Saccharomyces cerevisiae S288C: one gene and its partners. The gene in region 2 interacts genetically with the main gene of each other region. Each region holds a gene or a part of one and is shown on either strand. Other genes may lie near its edges.

Region 1 (5,008 bases), on a different chromosome or scaffold from region 2:
GCTAAAGATTCCCAATAATCATCAACGATGCGTTGACCACCGGCAATAACAGAAGCACCGAATTCAACAAAGGCTGACCTGGCAGTTATATACTTAAAAGATCCTTTGGATTCTTCAGGAATGACACCATTTTTGGCCAAAAATTTTGTTTGTTCCTCAGAAGTTTCCATTACCAGAATTTGATCATGCTGGACAATAAACTCGTCCTCGTCATGCGTTGCGTTGCTTTGGTATAACACTTTAATGACATCTTGTAAAAGTACCAGAAGAACACCCATATGAGCCGTGAATGTGAAGGTGTTGAACAAATAATGTCTACCGCCAAATAATTCACCGTTCGAACCCACTTTTTTCTCACCATAAGCATCCAATTGTATCATCTTGTAGGATGTATTAGTAGCGTCTCTCGTCTTAAGTTCATCTATATATTTCGGTAATTCTAATTTTTTGTAGGGAAATTTGTCTAAGGGAGGTTGAACCAATTCATCTTGATCCAGGATTTGCAGAATTTGCTTAAGTATCACTCTTTCATGTTCTCTGATAAGTATTTTGGGTACTATAAATACAGCTCCAACCTCTCCTTGTTTTACAGAAGGATTATTTCCCTTTTCAAGAACGGTATTCCCTTCATCTTCGCCAAGCATATTCGTCTCTCTTTAAAACGCCCTTTGTTTTGGTTCTTCTTCCTACTTTTTTTATTTATAGTATTATACATTCCATGTTTTTCTTGTTTTTACATTGAGAAAAGTCCAGAAAGGGAAAAGTGATGGTTCGAAAAAAAAATATAGACGGCTGAAACTACAACTATATTTAATGCACAGGGCCACTTTCTGAACGGCTAATCTTTCCATGTCAGGATATATTTCCGTTGTACTTGACGAGGTCATAATACTCTGAAAATTTTTTTAGATACGACAAATATATCAGCTGCTAAACTCCTTTATGGATGTGTTGAAGGGAACACTTATCGCTTATTCTTCCTACGTGCTAGATTCCGTAACTGAGCTGTACTTCCCACATCGTAGTTGCCTAAATGTGAGAAACAAGAAGTGCCCTTCGTGCTTAGACCGTGGATATCATATATGTGAAGGTTGACAGTTCTTCCAAGTTTCAACAAACTATGCAAGACCTCCATTAATTTATACGCACATTCATTTGACAGAGGCCCTGTATACAAGAAGTACAGACAAAACTAACCGTTGTCCATATCCTACTATCAAACTATTCTTTCAGGTACGTTTTTACTGCCTGACCGGCTATAAGTTACAAAAGCGACTCCTTGAGATAAAAATTTTCTTCGAAAAATGCAGCATTTGGTTTGGCTGTTCACGAAAGTGGCTGCTTCCAGAGAAATCAGGTTTTCCTCGAGCATATGATATTTTAACGTAGAGGTTTATATTATAAAAGTGGAAAGGTAAAATCAACAGCGTTTATTTCCTCTATTCAATGTTCAGCAAGGACGGTAGAGACTACTATTGCTAAACAATTACTTACATGGAAATGTACTGTCAGTTGGATAAAAAAATCGACAGGAATATATTTTAATCACCTTTATAGAAGTACTGAATTTTTATGAGAAAACGTGAAAAAACTTCGTAATGTCGTCCTTATCCACTTCATTTGATTCATCGTCAGATTTACCAAGGTCAAAATCCGTTGACAATACGGCGGCTTCCATGAAGACAGGCAAGTACCCAAAATTAGAGAACTATAGGCAGTATTCTGATGCACAACCAATACGTCACGAAGCGCTTGCATTGAAAGTGGACGAAACGAAAGATTCTAGACACAAATTTAGTTCCTCTAACGGGGAGAATAGTGGAGTGGAAAATGGAGGCTATGTGGAGAAAACGAATATATCCACAAGTGGCCGCATGGATTTTGAAGGTGAAGCAGAAGCAGAAGCAGTGAAACGTTACCAGTTAAGATCTTTCGCGCTTTTAAGTTCTAATGCGAGGCCATCCAGGCTAGCAAAGTCTGAAACTCACCAAAAGCAGATTCATGTAGAGAGCATCGCTCCCTCTTTGCCAAAGAATGCGGCTTTAGAGAGAGGCCATGATACGGCGTTACCTGCCGGTACGTCAAGTAACAGATGCAACTTAGAAGCCTCCTCCTCGGCAAGAACTTTTACAAGCGCTCGTAAGGCTTCGCTAGTTAGCGCAATCTTTGAAACATCGGCTGAATCAGAGCATGGTACGCATCCCAAACAGGCGAAACTTAAGAGAAGAACCTATTCTACAATATCGACACATTCATCAGTCAATCCTACAACGTTGTTGACAAGAACTGCATCGCAAAAGTCCGATATGGGAAATGACACACGAAGAATTAAACCGTTACGTATGGATAGCAGGGTATCTTTCCATAGTGAGATATCGCAAGCATCCAGGGATTCTCAAGAAACAGAAGAAGACGTTTGTTTTCCAATGTTTCGACTATTACATACAAGAGTTAATGGTGTTGATTTTGATGAGTTGGAAGAATATGCCCAGATTTCAAATGCTGAAAGAAATCTGTCTTTGGCGAACCATCAAAGGCACAGTGAACGAACATACAATCATACCGACCAAGATACTGGATTTACTAACTCTGCTTCCACTTCAGGATCCTCAGCAGCTCTGAAATATACACCTGAAATTTCACGGACTCTTGAAAAAAATTGCAGCGTTAATGAGATGTACGTATCTGAAAACAATGAATCTGTGAGGGAAGATGATAAACCTGATCTACACCCTGACGTAACATTTGGTAGAAATAAGATTGAAGGTGAAAAAGAAGGAAATGATTCGAGTTATAGCCGGGCGTATTATACCCTCCAAAATACAGAATATCAAATTCCTAGTAGATTTTCGTTCTTCCGCTCTGAATCTGATGAAACTGTGCATGCTAGTGATATCCCTTCTTTGATATCCGAGGGACAGACGTTTTATGAGTTATTCAAGGGAGGCGATCCAACGTGGTGGTTGGATTGCAGTTGTCCAACTGATGATGAAATGCGTTGCATAGCAAAAACATTTGGAATCCATCCTTTGACCGCGGAAGATATCAGGATGCAAGAAACGCGTGAAAAGGTAGAGCTTTTCAAATCCTATTACTTTGTCTGTTTCCATACATTTGAAAATGATAAAGAATCGGAGAATTATCTTGAACCTATAAATGTTTACATCGTTGTTTTTAGGTCAGGTGTCTTGACTTTTCATTTTGACCCAATATCACACTGTGCCAATGTAAGAAGACGTGTAAGACAATTACGTGACTATGTCAGTGTCAATTCAGATTGGTTATGTTATGCTTTAATCGATGATATCACAGATAGTTTTGCTCCGGTTATTCAATCCATCGAGTATGAAGCTGATTCGATTGATGATTCAGTGTTTATGACCCGTGATATGGATTTTGCAGCCATGTTACAAAGGATTGGTGAAAGTAGGCGTAAGACAATGACGCTGATGAGACTCTTGAGCGGTAAAGCAGATGTTATCAAAATGTTCGCCAAAAGATGTCAAGATGAAACTAATGGTATTGGGCCAGTGCTTAAATCTCAAACTAACATGGTGAACTTACAAGCGGAACAAGAGAATGTGAACCAGAATAATAGTAATAACCAAATAAGCTTATCAAATAGCTATATGCAAACAACATCACAACCAAGGGGAGATATTGCTTTATACTTAGGTGATATTCAGGATCATTTGTTGACGATGTTTCAAAATTTATTGGCGTACGAAAAGATTTTTTCTAGATCACATGCAAACTACCTGGCCCAATTACAAGTGGAATCATTTAACTCTAATAATAAAGTTACAGAAATGTTGGGTAAAGTTACTATGTTAGGTACAATGTTAGTTCCATTAAATGTTATTACTGGTCTGTTCGGTATGAATGTAAAAGTTCCAGGAAGAAATGGAAGTATTGCGTGGTGGTATGGAATTTTGGGGGTACTGCTTTTACTAGCTGTCATAAGCTGGTTTTTAGCTAGCTATTGGATCAAAAAAATAGACCCACCTGCAACGCTCAACGAAGCCGCAGGTAGTGGGGCCAAATCAGTCATATCTAGTTTTTTACCGAAAAGAGATAAAAGATTTAACGATGATTCTAAAAATGGCAATGCGAGAGTTGGCGTTCGAAGGAAATCAACTGTCAGTCTACCCAGTAGATATAGCCGTTACAATTAACATGACCGCTATGGTAGGTCGGCAGATCTTTAGCAGGCAGAATAAAAGTCTGCCGAACAACAAGTTCCTGAATTTTGAAAATTTTTGGCACATTGGTTGACTGCTTTTAAAGCATTTTTTTGATATGAGGGCACAAAAATATGACGCTTCACTTAAAGTTTCTCATATTCTGACACACTTCAGTGATTTTTTAAATCACATTGCATATTTATACCGTAAAAGTTGTAGAGTTAGTTTTCTTTATGTAGGCCAATAAAATAAATTTGCTTGAGCTGCATTACTAGCAACATAATTGACCAATTTATACGTTTAGTTTTAACATCATCACAATGGTGTATAAAAAAAATTGGTACCGAACCATGATATAACAGACTTCTGATCAGAAGTACGAAGTAAAACCAGAGAACATTACCAAAAACTTTTATGATGTATCTATATTGTTAAATAAACGAAGCCTGACAGTGGAACTGCGCTTTTTTTATCTTCCTTACCATGACTACCATTTATGAGCGGAATAATCATATCATTTTTACGAAAGCACCGCCTAAACTCAAAAATGGAAATTAGTACAGGCGTATTAAACCAAGAAAATAGAAGCTGTCGCGATACTTATTTACAAAATAAATCTACGTGGCCACATACACATGAAAACCACAATAAACTTCTTGCGTTAGTAAATAACTATAATTTGTATGCCTGGTCAGATTTCTACAGACAGCAAAGACTCCAATAAGCGCTAAATAAAAAGTCAGCATTTTGAATAATCATAGACAAGAACTCTTTTGTCGGAACAATTTACGTATTATTTTTCGAAACATTTCTTTCCCAGATAA
Region 2 (6,649 bases):
CTGAAAATTATAAATCTAACATGAAGGTACGATTTCTACTAAAAAGAATTCATTATCAGGAGCATTTGTTGCAGCAGGCTTCGGATCAGCTTATTAATTTGGAAAATATGGTGTCAACACTTGAGTTCAAAATGGTAGAAAAGCAATTTATTAATGGACTGAAAAATGGAAATGAAATCTTGAAAAAACTAAACAAGGAATTTAGCAATGTTGATGAACTGATGGACGATGTACAAGATCAAATTGCGTATCAAAATGAAATTAACGAGACATTATCTAGAAGCTTAGTCGGAACAAGCAATTATGAAGACGATCTAGATAAGGAATTGGATGCTCTAGAAAGTGAACTCAATCCAGAGAAGATGAATAACGCAAAAGTAGCTAACATGCCATCAACAGAAGGTTTGCCATCATTGCCTCAAGGAGAACAAACCGAGCAAAAAGAAAGAGAGGAATTCGCGACGGAGGAGAGATCAGACACTAAGGAACCTTTAGCATTACTATCCTGAATGTCTGTATGTAGCTTCAAAATTAAAAATAAAGGGAATGTAAATAGGTTCCTTCCAGGTTTTTCGTTGATAGAATTTGTTTAGTATTTTCAAAAATAAATACTAAGTTTATATAGTACTTTTATAGCTAAGCCAAGACGTGATAAATAGTCGTTAGAATTTTTATTGTTAAAATGAAGCATCAGCTATCATCTCTTGACTTGTTCCATACTACTAGAAGATTATCATATACGACATAAAAAGATGATATAAAGATTGAGAAAAGTCTAGAGATGTAATGGAAGTTTCTGTCCCAATTATGGCAACTATTAATTTATGTTAACCTTTAAATTTTGCTTGAAATAAAATGATGAATGACAATATATTAAAAGAAAAACAAAATAGAGGAAAAAGTTATAATATTATCGTGTAAAAATATCGATTCCTTAATGTGGATTTCAAGTCCTCGAGGTGAATTTCTCCTATAATCTGAATTCACAGCATCGTAGCCTTCATCAACAGCAAAATTTCTGGGGATAGTGGCTTTTTCTTTATATATTTATCCTGAATCAATGAACTTTCCTAAATTAAAGTTCTTGCACAATTTTCAATGGTCATGCCATGAAATAATACTATTTTGTTAAATGTCGGAGATATTTCAAAAAAAGAATAGGACATGATATTTAGGCCATATATTGAGAGCTACATTAAAAAAGATCCTATTATTAGAGGAAAGTTTCCTGTACGGTTGACCTGAAAAAAGAAATGTTCTTCTATAAAAGATTACATAAAATGTTTAGTCCATAAAACCATAAGTATAGGTCCAGACCATCACAAATAACAGGTTTCGTGGTCTAGTCGGTTATGGCATCTGCTTAACACGCAGAACGTCCCCAGTTCGATCCTGGGCGAAATCATTTTTATCTCAGCCGTTACGGAAAGTTTTTTAACGCCCGTCTGGCGTCCCACCTTTTAGGTAAAGACTCTGAAGTTACCCTCTACCCTCTTGGAATTGCGGCAGTAAGAATAGTTAAAAACATAATTTAGTAAGAAGCAGGATGTATATTTTAATTTATAATAGTGTGATGAACTCCCCTCCTAAATGCAGTACATAGTAAGAATTTCCATGAAAAAGAACAACTCAACTGCGACTGTTTGTTTTATCCTCAGTTTTCAGACTCCTCAATGCAGTTTTTTTCTCAGATTAAACTTTTACCTTTTCATCTATTTAGCCGCCAAGGGAAAATATGCACTACCCGGAATGATGGCGTTAAAAGTGACTTAATCTATAGACATGTCGCGACGCGACGCGTAAAGTTGTATAAACAAGTGAAAGTTTATAAACCTAGGCTCCATCGAAATTGTTGTTAATTGTAAAAAGACCTAAAAGAAGTTTATCCACCTTGTTAGTTTGTATCCGGTCTCAATTTTTACAGGTATATTTGTAAAGAAGCAAGAAATAAAGTGCGAACAAAATGGCTAAAGGTGCTGTTACTAAACTGAAGTTTAACTCACCTATAATATCTACCTCCGATCAGCTGATATCAACAAATGAACTATTAGATCGTTTAAAAGCTTTACATGAGGAATTAGCCTCTCTGGATCAAGACAATACAGATTTAACGGGATTAGATAAATATAGGGACGCACTAGTTAGCAGAAAATTATTAAAACATAAAGACGTGGGGATCCGCGCTTTCACCGCTTGTTGTCTAAGCGATATCCTGAGATTATATGCTCCAGATGCGCCTTATACGGATGCTCAACTAACGGACATTTTCAAGCTGGTGCTCTCACAATTTGAACAATTAGGTGACCAAGAAAACGGCTATCACATCCAACAAACTTATTTGATCACTAAGCTACTAGAATACAGATCAATCGTATTATTAGCCGATTTACCTAGTTCAAACAATTTACTTATCGAACTATTCCATATTTTTTACGATCCTAACAAGAGCTTCCCCGCAAGGCTCTTCAATGTAATAGGCGGTATTCTCGGTGAAGTCATCTCTGAGTTCGATTCTGTTCCCCTAGAAGTACTAAGATTAATTTTTAATAAGTTTTTGACCTATAACCCGAATGAAATTCCTGAAGGTTTGAACGTTACTTCTGACTGTGGCTACGAAGTTAGTCTAATTTTGTGTGATACTTATTCCAATAGAATGAGTAGACATCTAACTAAATACTATTCCGAGATTATTCATGAAGCAACTAATGATGACAATAATTCAAGACTTCTCACTGTGGTAGTGAAATTACATAAACTGGTATTGAGACTTTGGGAAACAGTACCCGAACTGATCAATGCAGTAATCGGATTTATATACCACGAATTATCTTCGGAAAACGAGCTTTTCAGAAAAGAAGCTACAAAATTAATTGGTCAAATACTTACCTCATATTCGGATTTAAATTTTGTTTCTACACATTCCGATACGTTCAAGGCATGGATTTCCAAAATTGCTGATATTAGTCCCGATGTTAGAGTAGAATGGACAGAATCAATTCCTCAAATCATTGCCACGAGAGAAGACATATCCAAAGAACTGAATCAGGCACTGGCAAAAACCTTTATTGATTCTGATCCTCGTGTACGCAGGACTTCTGTTATGATTTTTAATAAAGTTCCCGTTACTGAAATTTGGAAAAATATAACCAATAAAGCCATTTATACATCTTTACTTCATTTGGCCCGAGAAAAACATAAGGAGGTTAGGGAACTCTGCATTAACACTATGGCCAAGTTTTACTCAAATTCATTGAATGAGATCGAAAGGACATACCAAAATAAAGAAATTTGGGAAATCATAGACACCATACCATCCACTTTATACAATCTCTATTATATCAATGATTTAAACATCAATGAACAAGTCGACAGCGTAATTTTCGAATACCTACTACCGTTTGAACCAGATAACGATAAAAGAGTCCACAGACTGCTAACGGTTTTGTCACATTTTGATAAGAAGGCATTCACTTCATTTTTCGCTTTCAATGCAAGACAAATCAAAATATCCTTCGCTATATCCAAATATATTGATTTTAGTAAATTTTTGAACAATCAAGAAAGTATGAGCTCGTCTCAAGGTCCTATTGTAATGAACAAGTACAACCAAACTCTCCAGTGGTTAGCTTCTGGCCTTTCTGACTCTACGAAAGCAATCGACGCCCTCGAAACAATAAAACAATTTAACGACGAAAGAATCTTTTATTTATTAAATGCCTGTGTCACCAACGATATTCCGTTTCTTACTTTTAAAAATTGTTACAATGAATTGGTCAGTAAGTTACAAACGCCAGGACTATTTAAAAAATATAATATATCTACTGGTGCTTCCATTATGCCACGTGATATCGCCAAGGTAATACAAATTTTGCTTTTTAGAGCCTCACCAATAATTTATAATGTATCCAACATCAGTGTTTTATTGAACCTATCTAATAATTCTGACGCAAAACAATTGGATTTGAAAAGAAGAATCTTGGATGATATATCGAAAGTCAATCCCACATTATTTAAAGATCAGATTAGAACATTAAAAACCATTATCAAGGATTTGGATGATCCAGATGCAGAAAAAAATGATAACTTGTCATTGGAAGAAGCTTTAAAAACCCTTTACAAGGCTTCCAAAACATTAAAGGATCAAGTGGATTTTGACGACACGTTTTTCTTCACCAAATTATACGATTTTGCAGTTGAAAGTAAACCAGAAATAACGAAATACGCCACAAAACTTATCGCTTTATCGCCCAAAGCTGAAGAAACTCTGAAAAAGATAAAAATACGTATCCTACCTTTAGATTTGCAAAAAGACAAGTATTTTACATCTCATATTATTGTACTCATGGAAATATTTAAAAAATTCCCTCACGTCCTAAATGATGATTCCACTGATATCATATCATACCTAATTAAAGAAGTTCTATTATCAAACCAGGTCGTTGGTGATTCAAAAAAAGAAATTGACTGGGTAGAAGATTCTCTATTAAGTGACACGAAATATTCTGCAATAGGTAATAAGGTGTTTACTTTAAAGCTGTTCACCAACAAATTGAGATCAATTGCTCCGGATGTTCCACGAGATGAATTGGCAGAAAGTTTCACCGAAAAAACTATGAAGTTATTCTTTTACTTGATTGCAAGTGGTGGTGAGCTGATTTCCGAGTTTAACAAGGAGTTTTATCCCACCCCCAGTAATTATCAAACAAAATTGAGGTGTGTGGCAGGAATTCAAGTTTTAAAACTGGCCAGGATTTCTAATTTGAACAACTTTATCAAACCTTCGGACATTATTAAATTAATTAATTTGGTTGAAGATGAATCGCTGCCAGTAAGAAAAACATTTTTGGAACAACTGAAAGATTATGTTGCTAATGAACTGATTTCCATAAAGTTCCTACCACTAGTATTTTTTACTGCTTATGAACCAGATGTCGAACTGAAAACCACAACGAAGATATGGATAAACTTTACATTTGGCTTAAAATCATTTAAAAAAGGGACGATATTTGAAAGAGCTTTGCCTAGGTTGATACATGCGATTGCACATCACCCTGATATTGTGGGAGGTTTAGATTCCGAAGGAGACGCATATCTAAATGCTTTAACAACAGCGATTGATTATTTGCTGTTTTACTTTGACTCTATTGCCGCCCAAGAGAACTTCAGTTTGCTCTATTATTTATCAGAAAGGGTAAAAAACTATCAAGATAAGTTAGTTGAGGATGAAATTGATGAAGAAGAAGGACCACAAAAAGAAGAAGCGCCAAAGAAGCATAGACCTTACGGTCAGAAAATGTATATCATAGGTGAGCTGTCGCAAATGATTCTATTGAATTTAAAAGAGAAGAAAAATTGGCAACATTCAGCATATCCAGGTAAATTAAACTTACCATCAGATTTGTTCAAACCTTTTGCAACGGTTCAGGAGGCCCAGTTATCTTTCAAAACATACATACCAGAGAGCTTGACTGAAAAAATACAAAACAATATAAAAGCTAAAATCGGACGGATTCTTCACACGTCACAAACTCAAAGACAAAGGCTTCAAAAGAGGTTATTAGCTCACGAAAACAATGAATCACAAAAAAAAAAGAAGAAAGTTCATCATGCGAGATCACAGGCTGACGACGAAGAAGGTGATGGGGATCGAGAATCAGACAGTGATGATGACAGTTATTCACCGTCTAACAAAAATGAAACCAAGAAAGGGCACGAAAATATTGTGATGAAGAAATTGAGGGTCAGGAAAGAAGTTGACTACAAAGACGATGAAGATGATGACATCGAGATGACTTAGAAGGGAAAAAAACATCAATTGCTATGTTGTAAATGGAAAAAAAAGGAAAATAGGTAGATCTCTCACTTTAAGATGCGATACATATGCCTATGTATGTGTGTATATATGTAAGGAAGGTGTTCACGTTCCTGATTTATTCTTTATGTATGTACGCCGTTTCTATTCGGATTGGTTTTCGGGATTTTCTATGTTTAAAAATTTTAACAGTTCTTCCTTTGGTTTGGATTCGATAATCTTCTTTAAATATAACAGATGCTTTATTTCATCGCTGGAAAAGTCATTGAATTGTATAGAATCTAGTTCGTTCGGCACGACTACGTTAGTCAGTTCTTTCAAATCCCATAATTTTCTTAAGTTATTGCTTTTGGAAGCCGATTTATTGTTACTACTCTTGTCGTTGTTGCTAACTTGGAAATATATTAAAGAGGCTATGTCTTTGACCATATTATCCTCGCTATTGCCATTTTGGGATCCATTTGATACTAACTTATCTATTAAACTTTCTTGAAATTGAAAGAGTTTTCTTTTTTGAACCATTTTTGATTTGTAAATTTTATCAAAAAAATCATATTTAATGGAATTTTCATCTATTTGTGTAATTTTGAAATCTTGATTGAAATCATAATCTGTATGACTAGTTGTTGGTATGATTTGAATGTTCCCGTTATTTTGGTAGCCTATTTTTTGTAAAGGTTCATAATAAAGTTGGTTTTTCTTGTTTATCAATCGTTGTTTTTTCCACACCTTATAATTTACGCTATTATCTTCTTGACAATGGTGTATCTTTTTGTAAACTTTAGTTGGGGAATGTAGAGGACATTTCCATTTTGAACCTAAGTTCTTGAAAGAAGC
Region 3 (4,462 bases), on a different chromosome or scaffold from region 2:
TCGGTAAGGATGACACATTACCAGATTATTGTACCGCCATTCAGCTAAAGGCCGTTTGTCCACCAGAAGCTGGTTTTGATTAATCTTTTCTCACATCCTCACTTATAGATATGTTTTGATTATTTTCGTTATAGACAAAAATCTTTTGAGAAAGCCATGCGGAAGTTATTTTTAACTGTAAAGTACAATCGATTTCCTTTAGGCATTTCTACTTTCTTCTGACCCTGATTTAAAATTTTCGAGTTCTTTTTGTTACGATGCGTTATTTATTGTCGATTTATTACATATAATTCTTTATAATATAAAAGTGCAATACAGTGCATCTAGATATGGATTTTCAAAATTTTGCAGAATATGATCGGTTTGCCTACAAGATAAAAGTAAATTATTCACAATTTCCAACATTTAAAAGTGGCGATCGCATAGTAAAAGCGTTAAGAATGATGCTACATCCCACATGAGAGTGGTTCGATTATGCTGAATTTCAACACCAATTCAATATACTTTAATTTAAACAGACATTTATGATGCCAGAGACATAAAGGATCCGAAAGGTTTTAGGAACACCTTAGTGGAAAATCATTTTAGCGTGGCCGGGAGTACCAGATTTTTCATAGTTCCCTATTGCAATCAATTTGGATTTTTGCTGGCGTTGCATCATGGCTATGTTATCCAATGCATGCCAAGAGTGATTTACTTAAAGAGTAACTTCGTTACAAAACATTACGTTATACTTCAGTGCGATAATTTTTCAGATATCAAAAATTATACTACATTATACAACAAAAGCGTGTAGGTTTACCTATTGCTTATAAGACTAGAACAACTCTTGGTCAAATATCTTTATTCCATATGTCGACTATTTGTGAAAGCCGGAGCTTTTCGTCTTCTTTAAATTTGATCAACTTTCCAAACTCACCTTCCTTGAATAATGTGCAATAATTGAACAAAAAACACTCTCCTGAGTTAATCCATCCTGATATACTAGTATCTGGTATTATAATCCCTTCAAGTTTTACTGGTGATGCATAATATTCACGTAATTCATCTGCATTTTGGAACATATCATTTAGTCTCTGTCTATGCTCATAATCGTATTCCCATGAAGTTTTTTTACAAATATTAAGGCCCCCGTTTAGCCATAGCAAGGACCCGTCCCTGTCTGTATGAGATAGTTGCACAGAACAAATCTGGTAAAACTCACCGGTACTCTCTTTTGAAACTACATTGCCCAACTGACCAATGTTTGATGCATCCACAGGATGGAACGTAAAGCGATTGTTCGAAAGTAATTCGCCCAGCCAAAAAAAGTCCTTATCACCATGAAAATATTCTGCAATTGGAGAAAATTGTAAAGCTATTGAAGTAAGCATACTGAAGAGATGCTTTCCTTTATGCAATATTACCAGGCCGCTTTCCAAATGATGTTTATATTTCTTTATAAACATGTTTTCCAGAACCTGTGCAACCACTGGATCCTCTACTTGCTCATGTATCTTGGATTCATCCTCTAAATCAAGCCCAATACACCCATAGACAATTTCCCTTAGAATTTTTAATTCAGAGGATTCAAATAGATCATCTGATATTACCCGATCTTTAAAGAATAGAACTCCAGTCTTTTGAAATTCCTCTAATTCATAAAATTTTTCTATTGAAACAAAGGGCACTGTATCTGAGTCCATTAGAATAGGAATTTCAAAGGATGAGAAGGTCAATGCTAACCACTTGTTGGAATAGGTGGTAAATTTTTTCGAATATTTCGGGTTTAGCAGACTATGTACATTTAAAAACCATAATTCTTGAGCAGGATATTCAGCGGTGTCTAGACTTCTCGCATATTTGATAATAGATTTCATGGAATCTTGACTCAGATCTGCATTATGAACAATCTGTATAGGATAATCATTTTTGATGAACCTCAACACTTTCAATAAGCGTATGGTTTCATTCAACTGCACGTCAGAAGCACTAATAACTATGCCTTTCGAACCACTTTGAGTCACAGTGTGCAACCAATTCTCCCAAAAAGATAGCCCTGTATCGAAATTGATGGGCTTAGAACGAAGGAATTGATGGTTTTTGGGGTCAAATTCCAACATAGACGCATGGTAAACCTCGCCATTCCATCTCGTAGTTGTGTGCCAGAAGGCACTTTCATCAGTTTCTAATTTTTCAAAGTTAATATACGGAAAGAGCTTCTTTTCAATATCCCTCAAACGCTGAATATTATGCCCATCAACCTGCTGCAAGCAATTAAAAAAAATCTTAATCCTCGTAACCAGTTCAATCACATCTTTTGCAGGATTCGGGGTTATTTGATTTACGTCGTAGAAGTCATTCAACCACCCAGGCGTAAGACCTTCATAGTAACTCCAGCAGCCACCATTGCCACTGCTGCTACTTTGAACTGGTTCTACCAAATCTAACGAATTCAACTGAGAGTAATATACTACTAACACAATTCCCAGTAGTACAACTAATATAAACAGTCGATTTTTTCTTCTCATATTCGATAAATACTATTGGGGCTACTTTTGTCCTGTCACTGCGGATTTGCAAACACTCATGCGAATATTTTACTCAATTGAGAGATTTGCTGTCTCCCCCCACTTCGATGGTCCCCACCCCTAAAGTAAAGGAAAGAAGAATTAGCACTGTTTTAGTTCCAGGTACTTCTTTCTTTCTTTACCGGTATTGTGTGGCTCATCAAAACTTCGTCTCGGGAAAATGAAAAATGTAAACAAGAATTTCCGTTTCAAAGAGTTGCCTAAGGCCCACTAATAATGTACTTATTATTTACAATTCGGAGAACGCTGCTGATAGAAATCAATCAAGAAGTCCCTTAGTCTTTGTGTGTTTACGCCATATTGCTTAGTTTCGTAGTGCGTTACAGTTCTATCGTGTGAAAATTTTTTTCTAATGCATCAGCTGTTATGCGCACTACTTGAAAGGTTATCGAGCGTTTGTAAAAAGTAGAAGTACTTAAATGAACCTTCACGGTTAAGCAACCAGTATAATTGAGGCTGCTGATTTGAAATTGCGTTTTGTGTTCAGAAGGATCCCCGGAGGCCTTCAATGAGCTTCCATTTTATTTTCTCCAAGGAGGCCATTTTTTGTAGTGTGATGTTGACATGGTTATAACTGTTAGCAGTGTTTGTGATGATGGCTGTAGTATCACCGCAGTGGATTAGCTATGAAAAAAAAAAAAAAGAACTAGTTTTTAGTTCGCGCATCACGAGGTACGTGTTTAATATGTCAGATGCTTGGGATCACGTATGCCGTTAACTCTACAAAGCAATTGATATTTTGCTGCCTCAAATATCTCACACTACTAGGATATATTCTTTTATCAAACAGGAAAAAAGGGCAGCGTACCAACATGTATAAAAGGGTTATTAGCATTTCTGGTTTATTAAAGACTGGAGTCAAACGTTTTTCTTCTGTCTATTGCAAAACAACCATCAACAACAAGTTTACATTTGCAACAACTAATAGTCAAATAAGAAAAATGTCTTCCGTTACTGGGTTTTACATTCCACCAATCTCTTTCTTTGGTGAAGGTGCTTTAGAAGAAACCGCTGATTACATCAAAAACAAGGATTACAAAAAGGCTTTGATCGTTACTGATCCTGGTATTGCAGCTATTGGTCTCTCCGGTAGAGTCCAAAAGATGTTGGAAGAACGTGACTTAAACGTTGCTATCTATGACAAAACTCAACCAAACCCAAATATTGCCAATGTCACAGCTGGTTTGAAGGTTTTGAAGGAACAAAACTCTGAAATTGTTGTTTCCATTGGTGGTGGTTCTGCTCACGACAATGCTAAGGCCATTGCTTTATTGGCTACTAACGGTGGGGAAATCGGAGACTATGAAGGTGTCAATCAATCTAAGAAGGCTGCTTTACCACTATTTGCCATCAACACTACTGCTGGTACTGCTTCCGAAATGACCAGATTCACTATTATCTCTAATGAAGAAAAGAAAATCAAGATGGCTATCATTGACAACAACGTCACTCCAGCTGTTGCTGTCAACGATCCATCTACCATGTTTGGTTTGCCACCTGCTTTGACTGCTGCTACTGGTCTAGATGCTTTGACTCACTGTATCGAAGCTTATGTTTCCACCGCCTCTAACCCAATCACCGATGCCTGTGCTTTGAAGGGTATTGATTTGATCAATGAAAGCTTAGTCGCTGCATACAAAGACGGTAAAGACAAGAAGGCCAGAACTGACATGTGTTACGCTGAATACTTGGCAGGTATGGCTTTCAACAATGCTTCTCTAGGTTATGTTCATGCCCTTGCTCATCAACTTGGTGGTTTCTACCACTTGCCTCATGGTGTTTGTAACGCTGTCTTGTTGCCTCATGTTCAAGAGGCCAACATGCAATGTCCAAAGGCCAAGAAGAGATTAGGTGAAATTGCTTTGCATTTCGGTGCTTCTCAAGAAGATCCA

The links. Genes that interact genetically often act in the same process or in processes that back each other up.
Region 1: mutations in PDS5 (region 2) and ALR2 together harm fitness more than expected from each alone (negative genetic interaction), as found in Saccharomyces cerevisiae (one large-scale study listed by BioGRID).
Region 3: mutations in PDS5 (region 2) and MNT2 together harm fitness more than expected from each alone (negative genetic interaction), as found in Saccharomyces cerevisiae (one large-scale study listed by BioGRID).

What each region holds. Positions count from the first base shown.
Region 1 is NC_001138.5:32,439-37,446, reverse strand, and holds ALR2 (putative Mg(2+) transporter ALR2), read left to right. Parts: upstream 1-1,598; coding exon 1,599-4,175; downstream 4,176-5,008. Other genes in the region: SWP82 (Swp82p), read right to left, coding at 1-644. UniProt on the Saccharomyces cerevisiae protein: Plasma membrane magnesium transporter.
Region 2 is NC_001145.3:415,344-421,992, reverse strand, and holds PDS5 (sister chromatid cohesion factor PDS5), read left to right. Parts: upstream 1-1,963; coding exon 1,964-5,797; downstream 5,798-6,649. Other genes in the region: ESCRT-III subunit protein VPS20, read left to right, coding at 1-509; YMR075C-A (uncharacterized protein), read left to right, coding at 5,940-6,305; RCO1 (Rco1p), read right to left, coding at 5,957-6,649. UniProt on the Saccharomyces cerevisiae protein: Essential for the establishment and maintenance of sister chromatid cohesion at centromere proximal and distal regions during S phase. Also required for chromosomal condensation.
Region 3 is NC_001139.9:11,648-16,109, forward strand, and holds MNT2 (alpha-1,3-mannosyltransferase MNT2), read right to left. Parts: upstream 2,511-4,462; coding exon 834-2,510; downstream 1-833. Other genes in the region: VEL1 (Vel1p), read left to right, coding at 1-83; alcohol dehydrogenase ADH4, read left to right, coding at 3,512-4,462. UniProt on the Saccharomyces cerevisiae protein: Mannosyltransferase involved in adding the 4th and 5th mannose residues of O-linked glycans.